2 linked regions of the Stegostoma tigrinum genome follow. The protein of the gene in region 1 purifies or fractionates together with the protein of each later gene. This does not show direct contact. Links are inferred from orthologs where the notes say so. Each region holds a gene or a part of one and is shown on either strand. Other genes may lie near its edges.

Evidence for each region. The genes of interacting proteins can lie anywhere in the genome.
Region 2: the proteins of tyrosine-protein phosphatase non-receptor type 12-like (region 1) and vapal purify together in Homo sapiens (affinity purification with mass spectrometry; 3 studies listed by BioGRID and IntAct, counting the BioPlex papers as one, with this or other methods). This does not show direct contact. The link is inferred for Stegostoma tigrinum from reciprocal best matches to the Homo sapiens genes PTPN12 and VAPA.

What each region holds. Positions count from the first base shown.
Region 1 is NC_081378.1:24,620,223-24,628,452, reverse strand, and holds the start of tyrosine-protein phosphatase non-receptor type 12-like, read right to left. Parts: upstream 3,526-8,230; 5' UTR 3,340-3,525; coding exon 3,241-3,339; intron 1-3,240. UniProt on the Homo sapiens protein: Dephosphorylates a range of proteins, and thereby regulates cellular signaling cascades. Dephosphorylates cellular tyrosine kinases, such as ERBB2 and PTK2B/PYK2, and thereby regulates signaling via ERBB2 and PTK2B/PYK2.
Region 2 is NC_081358.1:115,000,218-115,008,020, forward strand, and holds the start of vapal (VAMP (vesicle-associated membrane protein)-associated protein A, like), read left to right. Parts: upstream 1-4,020; 5' UTR 4,021-4,121; coding exon 4,122-4,179; intron 4,180-7,803. UniProt on the Homo sapiens protein: Endoplasmic reticulum (ER)-anchored protein that mediates the formation of contact sites between the ER and endosomes via interaction with FFAT motif-containing proteins such as STARD3 or WDR44.

The DNA.
Region 1 (8,230 bases):
AACTAATGAGATGATGGAAACATACTGACGAATCATTTCAAAAGGAATTCAGATGTAATGGAGGGGGGGGGGGGAGGAGAGAGGAGAAAGCAAAAGTGCAGAAACAGGCAGAGCTACTAAATAGGACTGTCAGCATTATTCTTCAAAAAGAGCTTGTGCATATGATAGGCCAAACGATCTCCTTCTGCACTATTATTCTGATCCCAAGATTCTGCAATATCAAGTTCACATTCACTAATAACACCTTGGACCACCATCTCCCAAGACTCAAATTGTTAGTTTTGTCTACTGTCAGATGATCAGAAATTCCCTCCAACTTGTAGAGAAGACAATGTGTTCAGTCCACGATGCAAATGCTATTCCCTAGCCACAAATTCCAACCAACTCCTTACACTGCACCTCCCAGTCACAAACCATTTCCACTCCCCCTCCCATTCTCTAGATGAGATGTCCATCATGGGCCTCCTGCACTGCCACAATGATGCCACCCGAAGGTTGCAGGAACAGCAACTCATATTCCGCCTGGGAACCCTGCAGCCGTATGGTATCAATGTGGGCTTCACCAGTTTCAAAATCTCCCCTTCCCCTACTGCATCCCTAAACCAGCCCAGTTCGTCCCCTCCCCCCACTGCACCACACAACCAGCCCAGCTCTTCCACTCCATCCACTGCATCCCAAAACCAGTCCAACCTGTCTCTGCCTCCCTCACCTGTTCTTCCTCTCACCCATCCCTTCCTCCCACCCCAAGCCGCACCCCCATCTACCTACTAACCTCATCCCACCTCCTTGACCTGTCAGTCTTCCCTGGACTGACCTATCCCCTCCCTACCTCCCCACCTATACTCTCTCCACCTATCTTCTTTACTCTCCATCTTCAGTCCGCCTCCCCCTCTCTCCCTATTTATTCCAGTTCCCTCTCCCCATCCCCCTCTCTGAAGAAGGGTCCAGGCCCGAAAAGTCAGCTTTTGTGCTCCTGAGATGCTGCTTGGCCTGCTGTGTTCATCCAGCCTCACATTTTATCATCAACTCCTTACAACCTTGAAACAAAGGTAGTTCTCAACCTTGTCACGTTTGACCACATGAACTTTCAACCATATATTCACAACATCCCAACTATACAAACTTCTACAACAAACAGAAATTACTTGAAAATCTCAGAAGATCTGGCAGCATCTGAAGAGAAATCAGAGTTAACATTTTAGGGACCAGTGACCCTTCCTCAGGTCACCAGACCCAAAATGTTAACTCTGCTTTGTCTTCATAAATGCTTCCATACCTGGTGAGCTTTTTCAACAATTTCTGTGTTTGTTTCTGATTTACTGCATCCACAGTTCTTTCCACTTTTATATGAAACTCTACCCTTGTGATTCAGAGATTGTGGGAATTGTCAAAGCTGGAGAATCTGAGATAACAAGGTAGCGAGCTGAATGAACACAACAGGCCAAGCAGTAGAGGAGCAGGAAAGCTGAAGTTTCTTCTAAAGAGAAGTCCCAACCCAAAACGTCAGCTTTCCTGCTTGGCCTGCTGCGTTCACCCAGCTCTACACCTTGTTACCTTTAGTGATGTCTGATTCCAAACTCTGCAGCTCACTTGTTCTCCCAGCAACTATGCCTTTGCTGGCTTTAGTCTTGACTATTCCAATGCTCATCTGGCTTGCCTCCCATCTTCCATTTTAAATTGGAGTTCATTTAAAACTTTGCTGTCTGCAACTTAACTCGCACAGATTCCATTCAAATGTCACCTCCTTGCATGCTCACCTTTATTAGTCCTGGTCCAAAACGCCTCAAAGTTTAAAACATTCATTCTCATTTTCAAAGCCTTCTACAACCTCATTCCTTATTGTTCCAAAAGTAAGGAGTCATAAAGATGTCCTACTCATCATCCTGACCAAGTATCCTAAATAAATCTGGTCCCATTTGCCAGCATTTAGCCCACATCCGTCCAACCCCTTCCTATTCATATACCCACACGGATGTGTTTTAACTATTCAATTGTACCAGCTTCCTCCACCACCTCTGGCAGCTCATTCCACGGTTACTCCAGCCCTACCACATTCCAAAATGTTTATGTTCTTCCATTCTGACCTCATGCACATCCCTGATTTTAACTGCAGCATCTGCAAGCCTTCAAACTTAAATTGCTGCCCAAGCTTTTGGCTGTCTCTCCTAATGTCACTTTCTATAAAATTTCTCCTGTGAAGTACCAAAAGGCATTTACTGTGCTTAATGTATTATATTAAAATATGTAACAGTGGAGGTGAATAATAGATGCAGATGTCAATGGACTGAACAGCCATCTTCTATTGTTCATTGATGGCAACTTTTAATCAAAATTCAACTTCCAATGTTGATTTTCCCCAAAATGTTGTGAATCATTACAGACAAGATTCACAGGCATGAACCTCCCTCCAACATTTTCACTTATGTGCTAACGATTCAATCTAAGCATTGAATACCAGAGGGCTCATTCCACCAAAAAAGATTATCATAATCCTGTTTAATCTTGCCTTCATGCAATCACTAATGTCCACAAACTCTTTCATTCAGTGAATGCAGCTAAATCGTATTCCTCCCCCCACATACAGTTCCTGGGTACTAGTAGACGCTGATTCTCTTTTTCGGTACCCGAGTTACTCCAGCGGATACTAGCATGTCTAATAATCAGGACCCGAAGTGTTCCGAATATTGTACTGAAGCAAAAAAATAAAAACAGTCCAGTCAACAACGAAAATCCAGTCATTACACACTTCGTTGGAGCGAACACAACGCCCCGTGCCTTGCGCAACATCCGCAAACTCCCCACATTTCTGAGTCACAGCTGATAAATTCATTGCATTTTTTGTTGTACAAGGCAGGAGTTTCACTCAAGACAGACCCTTTAACAAACACAGCTTTACAATTGTCCAAACTATAGCTTAAATGGTATCTCTGAAAAAACAGAGTTCGCAGCACCCGACAAATGCAGCTTTCTGATTTTTGTTTTCTGAAAGTGAACGAGAAGCCATGAGGGAGCGGTTTAGGCCGCACAGCCTGGAGCTGGCAGTGATGGTCCTCATTCCTCCCCAGTGGGTGTTGGTTGAGAAGCTGGGACAAGGGGTAAGGGTTGTTGCTAAGGCGCCGCCACCAACCTTACACGGCCAAACTCACCCAAAGGAGAAAAATCGATTCCAGTTCGCGAAAGTTCGTTTACTACAAAGGAAAAACAATACTCGTAAGTGAGAAAAAAAACAATTAAACTCACCATGAAGTCGCTGGCAAAGTTGTCCTCCCCATTCTGGTCGCGGACTTTCATTTCCAGCACCCGGTTAATGAATTTCCTCAGAATTTCGCTTTGCTCCATCTTCTCGGCACATTGGAAAATTCAAGACCAACGGACAGGATCGAACTCTTATCACTTTCGCATCTTGCGTTTTTTTTAATGTGTTAAAAAAAACCTCCACCTACACACCTCTTCCGTATGAGAATCCTTAATTCTCAGCTTCCCCTCACCCGCCCGGCGCCACTTTCCTCTTTTTCTCTTTCGCCCTCTTCCCCTTCCCCGCCCCCACACGCCCCGCCCCTCCTCCTGCCTCTCATTGGCCCAGCGTTGCCATTGCGTCATGCCGCGACTTAGCCAGCTGATTCGGCCCTGCACCTACCACTCATTGTTACACCTGCTCATTCTATCCAACTTGATACTCCAGAGGACTGTGCAATTCTCTTTCAGCAGGGGTTGGGTGGTGACGTTTGATGTTTGATTGCTGAGTCTGGGTTGTTTCGTTAAAGCATATGAATTGTGTTCATAAACAGACATTTTAGCAAACACTTCAAAGCTGCGCAGTGATGCTAAAGTGGTTACTGCCAATACAGGAGGATAGCTTTAGAGTACTGAAGGTTGAAGATGATTTGGTCAGACAGGTCAGTGGCGGCAAATAGAATTCAGTCCGAATAAAGTGTGAGGTGATGCATTTGGGCGGGAGAAGCAAGGCAATGGAATATATAAAGGGTAGAAATCTAGGAAGCACTAAGGATCAGAGCAAACTTGATGTGCATGTCTGCTGGTTCCTTAAGGTAGAGGACAGTAGATTAAGTAGTTAAGAAGGCAATGGGAAGTTTGCCCTATTAGCTGAGACCAATCATTTAGGAGGAGGGAGGTCATGTTGAATTGTATAAAATGTTTGTCAGGCCACAGCCAGAGTATTGTGTAATTCTGGAATCCACATAATAGGAGGGATGTGATTGCACCAGACAGGTGCAGAGGAGATTTGCCAGTCTGTTGCCTGGACAGCAGAGGTTTAGTTGTGAGGAGAAGTTGGATAGATTGGTGTTTTCCTTGCAACTGAGGAGAGATGTGATTAGAATATATAAAATTATGAGGGGCTTAGACAGAGGCTAGACAGCTCTGAAGATGTCATCTAAAAGGGGGGTGGAACATTAGCACTCAAATCAGTCAGCTTTGCGAAACAGCCAACAATTCCAGCCACAACCTGAGCCACAGATCTTTGTTAAAACGTTATGAGGGAATAGATAGCGAAGAAAGATAGAGAGGAACCTTTCTCCTTGGTGGAGGATCAGTAAGCAGGGAACATGGATTTGAGATAAGGGACAGGAGATTTAGTGGAGATGCAAAGAAAAACAATTTCATCCAGAGGCTGGTGAAATCTGGAATTCACTATCTATAAGGGTAGTATGTGCAGAAAATCCTCATAATATTTAAGTAGTATTTAGATGTCTACTTGCAATGTCAAGACACACAAGACTATGAACTGAGTACTGGATAATGGGATTAGAATTGTCAGGTTAATAAAATGTGAGGCTGGATGAACACAGCAGGCCAAGCAGCATCTCAGGAGCACAAAAGCTGACGTTTCGGGCCTAGAAACTAGGCCTGAAACGTCAGCTTTTGTGTTCCTGAGATGCTGCTTGGCCTGCTGTGTTCATCCAGCCTCACATTTTATTATCTTGGAATTCTCCAGCATCTGCAGTTCCCATTATCTTAGAATTGTCAGGTGCCTGTTTTTTGACTGGTACTGACTCTGTGGGTCAATAGGCCTTCTCCTGTGCTGTAGATCTCCATATTTCTTTTAACCTGATGAGGAGCAAAAGAAAGACCACACTGCTTCCAAGCCACTCACCATCTGGTATGGAAAAGTACTGCTGCTCTGTCAATGTCACTGTATCAAAATACTAGAACTCCCAACAACATTGTAGGTGTACACAGCAAATACAGTATTTCAAGAAGGCACCTTCAAGCGGAACTAAGAATGGGCAATAAATGGTCATAATGTCTACATCCCTTAAGTCTTTCAAAAAAAAGGGTAGGAAGGGGAAGCTTAAAATTTACGTCCGTACAGTGAGAACTTAACCTGCTAATAAAGAGCACAGTTTTCTCTACTTCCTCTTTGCTTGAGCTTGTATTGAGTTGATCACACGCTTGAAGTTATTAATGCAATTTATTTCTGCTAATTGCTTCAACTGTATCTTTGCATTGGGGAAGAGTTATGTGGAACATACAAAATAGAAGCAGAAATAAGTCATTTGGCCCATCAATCTGTTCCACGATTCAGTAAGGTCATGGCTGATCTGACTGCAGCCTTAAGTCCACTTTTCTCCCTATCCCAATGTCACTTGATTCTCTTGTAGACTACTGTTTAAGGCAGTTTATTTTCAACTGTAGTACACCTACAGACTTCCTAAAATTGTTGAAATTGCCACTGTTTACCTAAATTCTCTGGGTTCAGTTAAGAGTATGTTTCTCTGCAAGAGGAGTGTGTTCAGCTTACTTCCGGCAAACAAAACTGCGGCATTGAAGTGAAGAATCTGAGGAATGATGATGGGTTCTGTGCATGTCACTGAGACTCAGCTTGGTCCCAGTCAAATCCACTCAGTTTCATACATCAGTCCAGCCTTTCTCAAGAGCTGTACTCCAGACATGGAATTACAGTGGCTCCCCTTAAAGTCATGGCAACATGCAACCACGTGTGATACCCAAGAGCCCTAACAAAATTGAAGTCAGTGGGAAATAGGAAAAATTTCCAGTGGTTGAGAATCATATCTGGCACAAAAGAAGGTTGATGTTGGAAGACAAATCATCTCAGCCTCAGGTAATTGCTGCTTTTTTCCCAGGACAATGACCTAGGCCCAATAATATAAAGCTACTTAATTAATCACTTCCCTGTGATAACGCTGTATTTTTGAGGAAGTGAAGCTGAGATAGACAGCAAGTGTGCAGATCAGCTTAATACCAACAGAATGGGTTTGATCCATATTTCAGTTGAGGCAGACGTGAGGACTGCCTTGGCACCATACCTGGAGGAAAAAGAAAATCGCAGCACTTGGGTGCCAAATGTTTGCTTGCCTAAATCTAGATATTCTTGAATATTGGATTACTTCATCATCTGAGATATTGTGGAATGTAACTAAATATACTGACTACTTCTTGAGTTCTCTGCTCAAAGGCAGATCCTTCACTGAATCGCAGCACTTTGACAAGACTGCCTGCAACAAGAAAGTTTAACCATTTTCCCATGACACTTAATGACATTTTTGCTCAATCCTGTGCTATGAATTTTTTGAAGTCAGCTTTAACCAGCAATGCAACACAAAAAATGCTTTTGTTGCTGGAGCAGGGTTGGGTTTAACTGAAAGCAATGAAATTAATAATTTTGAGATGTATCAATCAGTGATGCACTCGAACAACAAGTGCTAGAAACTTACAAGATAATGTATGGTTTAGAAGGGGTGGATGCTAGGAAGTTGTTTCCGTTAGGCGGGGAAACTGGGACCCGTGGGCACAGCCTTAAAATTAGAGGGGGTAAATTTAAAACTGAAATGAGACGACATTTCTTCAGCCAGAGAGTGGTGGGCTTGTGGAATTCATTGCCACGGAGTGCAGTGGAGGCTGGGACGTTGGATGCCTTCAAGGCAGAGATCGACAAATTCTTGATCTCAGAAGGAATCAAGGGCTACGGGGAGAGTGCAGGGAAGTGGAGTTGAAATGCCCATCAGCCATGATTTAAATGGCGGAGTGGACTTGATGGGCCAAATGGCCTTACTTCCATTTCTATGTCTTATGGTCTTATGGTCTAAAAAACCCTTAATTCATTTAGCTTAGAGGAAACAATAATTCTCACATATTATAGGATGAGCAAATGCTTTCTAAAATCTACATATACTTTGTAATAAAATGCTGTCTAACATTTAATTTTCATGTGCAATTATTTTCGTGTTGAATATTTTTTCAATAAATGTGTAACAAAATGTCAGTATTTTTAGCACCTACAGAAATAATTACTATTTGCCTTCTAAGTACTCCACTATTAATTGATTGGATTTCAGTGGCTCAAGGCTCAAGTGGTAAGGGCATGGAACGCCCTGCCTGCCAATGTAGTTAACTCAGCCACATTAGGGGCATTTAAACAGTCCTTGGATAAGCATATGGATGATGATGGGATAGTGTAGGGGCAGGGACTTAGATTAGTTAATAGGTCGGCACAACATCAAGGGCTGAAGGGCCTGTTCTGCACTGTATTGTTCTACATTCTATGTTCTAACCATGTGATTTTAACAATTTGGCCTTCGAAACAACAAATTATAAGAGTAATTTACCATTATGGGACCAAGCTGGGCTGCCCTTCCAATGAACTCTGGTAAGAATTGTATGAAAATGTGTTTTTTTTTGTTGTTATTCACATTATATTTTGCACACACTCCATTTTGTAGCCTTGAGCATTCATTTAATTGCTCACTCACATTCCAATTTGACTGTTAACATGTATGGAATTTAACTTAAGTGAAGCACTAACTTGTTCATCAAAGCAAAATGACATGAATTTACCATTGCTCAGCGTCAGACAGAAGCCTCTAATAGGAGCAAGTTATTTCATAGGGTGGAGATAGTATGTATGTTTCTTTCACATAGTTTCATGCCAGGACATGACATTTGATTTAAAAACATGTTATATTTGTGGTGTGAATGGGCAAGAACTGCAGCTACAGTTTGGGAGTCATAATCTGAGCAAGTGTACATTTGACTTTTAATGTGGATGACATTAATGAATCTGTTGAAAATGGGAGTTATTAGAAATATATTAGTATGCTCAGACATATTAATTACAACATGAAAATTAAGCCCAATCAGTATACATTGGTATTTACCTGCTATGTAAACAAGTTCTGATCATGTGTTCCTTGTTGCTATGCCCCTTCATTCCCTTTTTCATCATCCATCTATCAAATCTAATTTTGAATGT
Region 2 (7,803 bases), on another chromosome or scaffold:
CCATTTACGCACCATTCTCTGCAGGAAGAAGTTACCCCTCAGGTTCTTCTTAAATCTGTCTCCTCTTACGTTAAACCTATGCCCTCTAGCTTTCAATTCCCCATCCCTGGGAAAAAGACTATATGCATTCATCCTATCTATGCCCCTCATGATGTCATACACCTCATTAAGTTCACCCCTCATTCCCCTACAATCCAAGGAATAAAAGTTCTATCCTGGCCAACCTCTCCTATAGCTCAGGTACTCAGGTTTACTAGTCCTGGCAACATCCTCGTAAATCTTCTTTGCACATTTTCATGTCTAACTATGTCTTTCCTATAACAGGGTGACCAAAACTGTACACAATACTCCAAGCGCAGCCTCACCAACGACTTATACAACTGTAACGTAACGTCCCTATTCCTATAATCAATGCCTGGTGTGTGCGATTCGGGCCAGGACATGGGAGAGTTCAGGCCTTAAAATTATTGAACTCGATATTGAATCCGGAGGGCTGTCAGGTCCCCAGGCAGAAAATAAGGTGTTGTTTCTTCAGCTTTTCCAGTAACACCCTCATTCCAGGAATTCTCCTTAAACTGAGATAACAAGGCGTAGAATTGGATTAACGCAGCAGTCCAAGCAGCATCTTAGGAGCAGGAAAGCTGCCATTTCGGGCCCAGACCCTTTTCTGATACAATGTTAACCCTCCTTTAACTGTTCTTATCACAGAATTGTTATGACACAGATGGAGGTCATTTGACCCATTGAAGCTGCATATGCTCTTCAAATTCAAACATCTTCATTACCTAGTGGAAATCTCCTGTTTTCTTCTCATTCCCTTGCACACTATTTCTATCTTAATAATGATCAAATATCCTTGAATATCTCAACTGAACTTGCCTCAATCATATTTCCAGGCAGTGCATTCTATATCTCAACTATTCACTGTGTGAAAAGATTTTCCTCAGTCTTTTGTGCATCTATGCCTTCTAGTTTCTAATGCAGCTATGTCTATTCCTAAATAAGGAGCCCAAAACTGTACTGCGGATACGGTCTCACCAATGGTTTTTTCAACTAAAGCAAAACATCCCACTTTCACATTCTATTCTCCTTGCAAAAAAATCAAATGCTAGGACACCTAGGTCCCTTTGCACCTTAAGGATTTTTCAATCTCTCTCCATGAAATAATACACTGCTTTTCCTGCCAAAGGGGACAAGTTCACTTTCTCACATTATACTCCATTTTCCTGTTCTGCTAACTTACCTAAATTCCATTGCAGACTTTGGCAGAGCCTACCTGTCTTTGTGTATTAAGCAAGATTTAGCAATGCATTTGGCCCCTTCAGCCGAGTCACTGACAGAGACCATAAGTAGAAGCAGGGCCATAAGACCATTAGACCACAAGACACAGGAGTGGAAGTAAGGCCATTCGGCCCATCAAGTCCACTCTGCCATTTAAATCATGGCTGATGGGCATTTCAACACCACTTCCCTGCACTCTCCCAGTAGCCCTTGATTCCTTTTGAGATCAAGAATTTGTCGATCTCTGCCTTGAAGGCATCCGACGTCCCGGCCTCCACTGCACTCCATGGCAATGAATTCCACAAGCCCACCACTCTCTGGCTGAACAAATGTCGTCTCATTTCAGTTTTAAATTTAACCTCTCTAATTTTAAGGCTGTGCCCACGGGTCCTAGTCTCCCCGCCTAACGGAAACAACTTCCCAGCGTCCACCCCTTCTAAACCATACATTATCTTGTAAGTTTCTATTAGATCTCCCCTCAACCTTCTAAACTCTCATGAGTACAATCCCAGGATCCTTAGCCGTTCATCATACGCTAAACCTACCATTCCAGGGATCATCCGTGTGAATCTCCGCTGGACACGCTCCAGTACTAGTATGTCCTTCCTGAGGTGTGGGGCCCAAATTGGACACAGTATTCTAAATGGGGCCTAACTAGAGCTTTATAAAGCCTCAGAAGCACTTTGCTGCTTTTATATCCCAACCCTCTTGAGATAAATGACAACATTACATTCGCTTTCTTAATTATGGACTCTACCTGCAAGTTAACCTTTACAGAATCCTGGACCAACACTCCCAGATCCCTTTGCACTTCTGCTTTACGAATTTTCTCACCGTTTAGAAAATAGTCCATGCCTGTATTCTTTTTTCCTAAGTGCAAAACCTCACATTTACTCACATTGAATTTCATCAGCCATTTCCTGGACCACTCTCCTAAACTGTCTAAATCTTTCTGCAGCTTCCCCACCTCCTCAGTACTACCTGCTTGTCCACCTATCTTCGTATCATCGGCAAACTTCGCCAGAGGTGAACAGCTGTGGCCCCAACACTGAACCCTGCGGGACACCACTCGTCACCAGTTGCCATTCTGAGAAAGAGCCTTTTATCCCAACTCTCTGCCTTCTGTCAGACAGCCAATCCTCAATCAAGCCAGTAGCTCACCTCGAACACCATGGGCTCTCACCTTGCTCAGCAGCCTCCCGTGAGGCACTGTAGCAAAGGCCTTTTGGAAGCCTAGATAGATAACATCTACCTGGTCTAACATACTTGTTACCTCCTCAAAGAATTCTAACAGGTTTGTCAGGCACAACCTCCCCTTACTAAAACCATGCTGACTTGTTTTAATCTGACCCTGCACTTCCAGGAATTTAGAAATCTCGTCCTTGACAATGCATTCTAGAATTTTACCAACTACCGAGGTTAGGCTAATCGGCCTATAATTTTCCATCTTTTGCCTTGATCCTTTCTTAAACAAGGGAGTTAAAACAGCAATTTTCCAATCATCTGGGACTTTCCCTGACTCCGAGATAATGGGAACTGCAGATGCTGGAGAATTCCAAGATAATAAAATATGAGGCTGGATGAACACAGCAGGCCAAGCAGGAGCAATTTCCCTGACTCCAGTGACTTTTGAAAGATCACGACCAAAGCCTCCGCTATTTCCTCAGCCACCTGCAGGACCCTGCAACATTGATCTGGGGGAAGAGGGGTGGAGGCATTCCACTTGTGACATCTTGCCCAATGAGAAAAAACCATTCACAAAGGCTCAATAATGAGGAAGTACAATTTTAAGGTGAAGGATGAGAAAATTAGAGGGGATTTAATGATTTTTTGTTTTCACTCAGAGAGTAGTGGGAATCTGGAATGCATTCCCAGGAAAAGTAACCTCATGATCTATTTTAAATGCGGAAGAGCACCTGAAATGCCATAACGTTCAAAACTACGGGCAGTTGCCAGAAAGTGAGATTACCACAGAAGGTTTTTTGTCAGTGCAAACTGGATATACTCAATGATTTCCCCTGTATTACAGGCCTAACTCTTGGTTTTTGGGCACACTAGGATATTAGCCCTTGGCACCATGAGTTATCGAAGAACCAGAGACAGCAATCTACGCTCCCCCCTCCACAACACTGCAGCAAAGGATTAATTCACAACTTATATTTTAATAATAGTTTTTCCTGATGAAGGGTCTGGACTCGAAACATCAGCTTTCCCGCTCCTCTGATACTGTTTCAGAGATAATGGGAACTGCAGATGCTGGAGAATCCCAGATAATAAAGTGTGAAGCTGGATGAACACAGCAGGCCAAGCAGCATTTCAGGATTGTGCTCAGCACTGTGCTCCTGAGATGCTGCATGGCCTGCTGTGTTCATCCAGCTTCACACTTTATTATCTCTGATACTGCTTGGCCTGTTGTGTTTATCCAGCTCTACACCTTGTTATCAGCAGCTCCTACTACCTCTGGTATTACAGCGCTCAGGAGCACTTGGCACTTGAGCCTCCGTCTCACGGACGAGAGGCGGGACCTCTGCCAGTGCGCCACATCATCGCGGTCAGCCCATCCGCACGTCACGGGGTAAGCCGTACTGCGCACGCTCGTGGCCGGCGAGCAAATCCCCGGGGCGGCGCCTGAGGACGCGCACGCATTTTGGCGTGCGCTGATTGGGTGCGCGCACGTCGGCGTCCTGCAGAGCTCGAGTCAGGCGGAGGGAAAGAGAGAAAAAAAAATCAGCCCCTTTTACCCTCCCCCCCCCCTCCCCCTCATCCCGGAGAGGATCGGATAAGCGCCATCAGGCAGCAAAGGCTCTGAGTATCAGCCCTGCCCCCCCCCCCCCACGACAATGGCCAGATTGGAGCAAGTACTGATCCTCGATCCGCCCGTCGAGCTCAAATTCAAAGGTGACTGACGCTCGCACCGACATATTTATTTATGTGTTATTGTTACTCTGCATTACACGGACCGGGTGCCGCTCGTCTCACACATTCACACTTCTTCCGTTTTCTTCGCATCCTTCGCTACTGCGGCTGTGGCCCGCCGCCGTAGTTTGCCTTGTCCCGGGTGGGTGGCTGGGAGCTGGTCCTTCAGCACCTATCCTCATCCTTGTTCCCCCCGCCGCCCCCCAACCAACCAAGCTCCGGGGTATTGGGAGGCCCCGGCCGGCTCCACTCGAATCCCCCGGCAGTTCGCTCGCTGCAGCCGCCATTTTGGTAGCGCGGACTAGGCCGCGCCTGGATCCTCGGCTTCGTCGTGATGGTGGTGGCGGCGGCGGCGTCTGCCGCGGCTGGGTTCGGTGTGAACTGAGTGTGCCGCGATTTTCCGCGAGGATCGTCTCGGTTCGGTTCATTCTTTTTCTCGCGGATGTCAGCTTTGCTCCGAGGCCGGGTGTTGCCGGGGGAAGGTGGAATGAGTCAGTTTATGCAGAGTGGGCCCCACGTTACCTGGTCTTTTTAAAAATTATTTTATTATTGCTGGCTGAAATCGGAAACCAGCTCTTTTGAGTAGGGGAAAGGTGCCGAATGCTGTGCTCGCCCCAGAGCACATGGGATTCGGAGGCTGGAGATTTTTTTTCATCCAGATTGCATCCTTCACGCGTTTAGCAGCCGTGGTCTATTTTCAGCAACGTCTCTGTGCACAGATATTCAACCTTACTTCAAAATATTTAGAATTGCCATTTGTAATAGTGGAAAACAGTCTGCTGAAGTGCCTCTTAGGAACATAGAAAGATGACAAGGAGCAGATAGCACTTAAAAAAAATTACTGAATGGTTCAGTAATTTTTAATATTTTAATTAGGAGCTAGACTTCTAACAGTGTATTGATACATCGAATCCTTACCCTGTGTAATGGGATAGCCTTCGTGTGTGTTTTTATAGATATAGTTAGCTGAATAATTATGGCAGAAATAGCAGACAGTTCATACGGTGGTTTTAAGTATTTCTATTTCGTAATTTTTTTACGTTCTAAGAAATGTGTTCAAACAGAAAAAAGCTTCAGGCTTAAATACCAAAATTAAGTTTGGGATAACTAGATACTTGTGTTCGAGTCTGGAGATTTTGCAGTGCTGGGAATAAGAACAGTTTCTCTCAAACTTATTTTCAAGTCCTGATGCTATATTTGGGTCATGGCTGTTTGAGAAGAGCCTCAGTATGTCTTGACCTGTATGCTTACCTTAATGTGATGTTGCATTGCTAGTCTCTTTGACACTTTACCATAGAACTAACTAGCTCCACCCAAAGTGCCAACGAGGCTGTTGGAGACATGACTGAGCTGCAATCTCTGCCCTTTGGCACCAAGTGGATTATGTTTCTTAAGATCATTAGTATGACATGATCTTGCACTTTCTTTGGCTAGGCTTCATTCCAAAGAACAGATCGAGTAAGTAATTTATGCTCTTGTCTTAATTGCTGATTCCAGATGACATTTAAGTTTGACCTTTTTAAAAAATGCTGCTAATTTTCGCTCAAATGTATTGTTGCTGAAAATTAACATAATGTTTTGTCATAAATAAATTGCTCAGTTTGTCAAATTTTGAATAAGGAGGAAAAGTCAGTATCAGTAAAGACTAAAATGGACTTGACAGATTTACATTTGTCTTTTGAAATCTTCTATTAAGAACTGGAATGACTGAAATGTTTTATCCTCTTCAGGGTGAGATTATGGCATTTGTTTTCTGGAGTTTGTGTGACATGTTGAAGCTTTCTTCAGCCTGCCATTGTTTAGGTATTTTATTTCTGATTTAACTAAATTATGCGGAGAAAGTAGTTTTCAATGAAGGAATTTAAATTGCAGTTGCTATGCTGAGTGAAATCAAGCAGTTTTTACCACTCACCACTCTCCACCATCCCTTGTCAAAAATCTGGGTTTTCAACTTTTATTTGACCTTAGACTCTGGAACGTGATAAGCCACATGGTACCTTTCACACCTCCTATTCACCAATGGCTTTGAAGCCTCTTACTCGGGTCTGGAAATTCCTTTGAATTCCACCTTGCTGTTTTTGATCATAACCTCTCTGAAGGGATGTTAATGTTGTGATAATGCTGCTGGATGAATGATTTACAGATGCGACTTCAAATCTCACCACAGCTCAAACTCAGAAAGTTAAAAAGTCTACTGCAGGAAGTCCTTGATTTTTGACTCTCGCAACAGTGAACTCTGATGGCATCAGGTTCAGCTCAGGCAATGCTGGATTACCACCTCCTGTCCTCCCTCCACTGAAAAATCTATGTACTTCATTGTTGAATACTGTCTGGGAGTAATGTTGAGAATAGGAAGGGCACGATTTGTTCTCTGTGAGAAAATTCAATGAGCAATTGTAGCTTTGTAGCTCCACTACTGACTGAGCTCCCAAGGTCATAAATGCTGTGTTGAGCCTGTGACAGCAAACAAGGGAACCAACAAGAGGGACAAGGAAGACCTCGTTCGCACCAATCTATCTGTCACGGATGCATTCCTCTCTGACAGCATTGAGAGGAATGACACAGACTGTGGGGAGATGGAGTCCTGCCCTTTTTGAATATCTGTTCCACTATCTGTGTGGCAGTTTGACCATGCTGAGTTGTAGGAGATGCCACAAGTATCCCCATCCTCATTGATGGTGGGACCTAGGATATCATTGCATTAGACCAGGCTAGAGCATTTGCACGTATCATCAGTCAAATCTATCTGGACTTGCAAAAGGCCTTTGATATGGTGCCTCATGGGAGGCTGCTGAGCAAGGTGAAGGCCCATGGTGTTCGAGGTGAGCTACTGGCTTGGATTGAAGATTGGCTGTCTGACAGAAGGCAGAGAGTTGGGACAAAAGGCTCTTTTTCAGAATGGCAACTGGTGACGAGTGGTGTCCCGCAGGGTTCAGTGTTGGGGCCGCAGCTGTTCACCTTGTATGTTAATGATCTGGATGAAGAGACTGGGGGCATTCTGGCAAAGTTTGCCGATGATACAAATATAGGTGGACAGGCAGGTAGTACTGAGGAGGTGGGGAAGCTGCAGAAAGATTTAGACAGTTTAGGAGAGTGGTCCAGGAAATGGCTGATGAAATTCAACGTGAGCAAATGTGAGGTTTTGCACTTGGGGGAAAAAGAATACAGGCATGGACTATTTTCTAAACGGTGAGAAAATTCGTAAAGCAGAAGTGCAAAGGGATCTGCGAGTGTTGGTCCAGGATTCTCTCAAGGTTAACTTGCAGGTAGAGTCCGTAATTAAGAAAGCGAATGTAATGTTGCCGTTTATCTCAAGAGGGTTGGAATATAAAAGCAGCGAAGTGCTTCTGAGGCTTTATAAAGCTCTAGTTAGGCCCCATTTAGAATACTGTGTCCAATTTGGGCCCCACACCTCAGGAAGGACATACTAGTACTGGAGCGTGTCCAGCGGAGATTCACACGGATGATCCCTGGAATGGTAGGTTTAGCATATGATGAACGGCTAAGGATCCTGGGATTGTACTCATGAGAGTTTAGAAGGTTGAGGGGAGATCTAATAGAAACTTACAAGATAATGTATGGCTTAGAAGGGGTGGATGCTGGGAA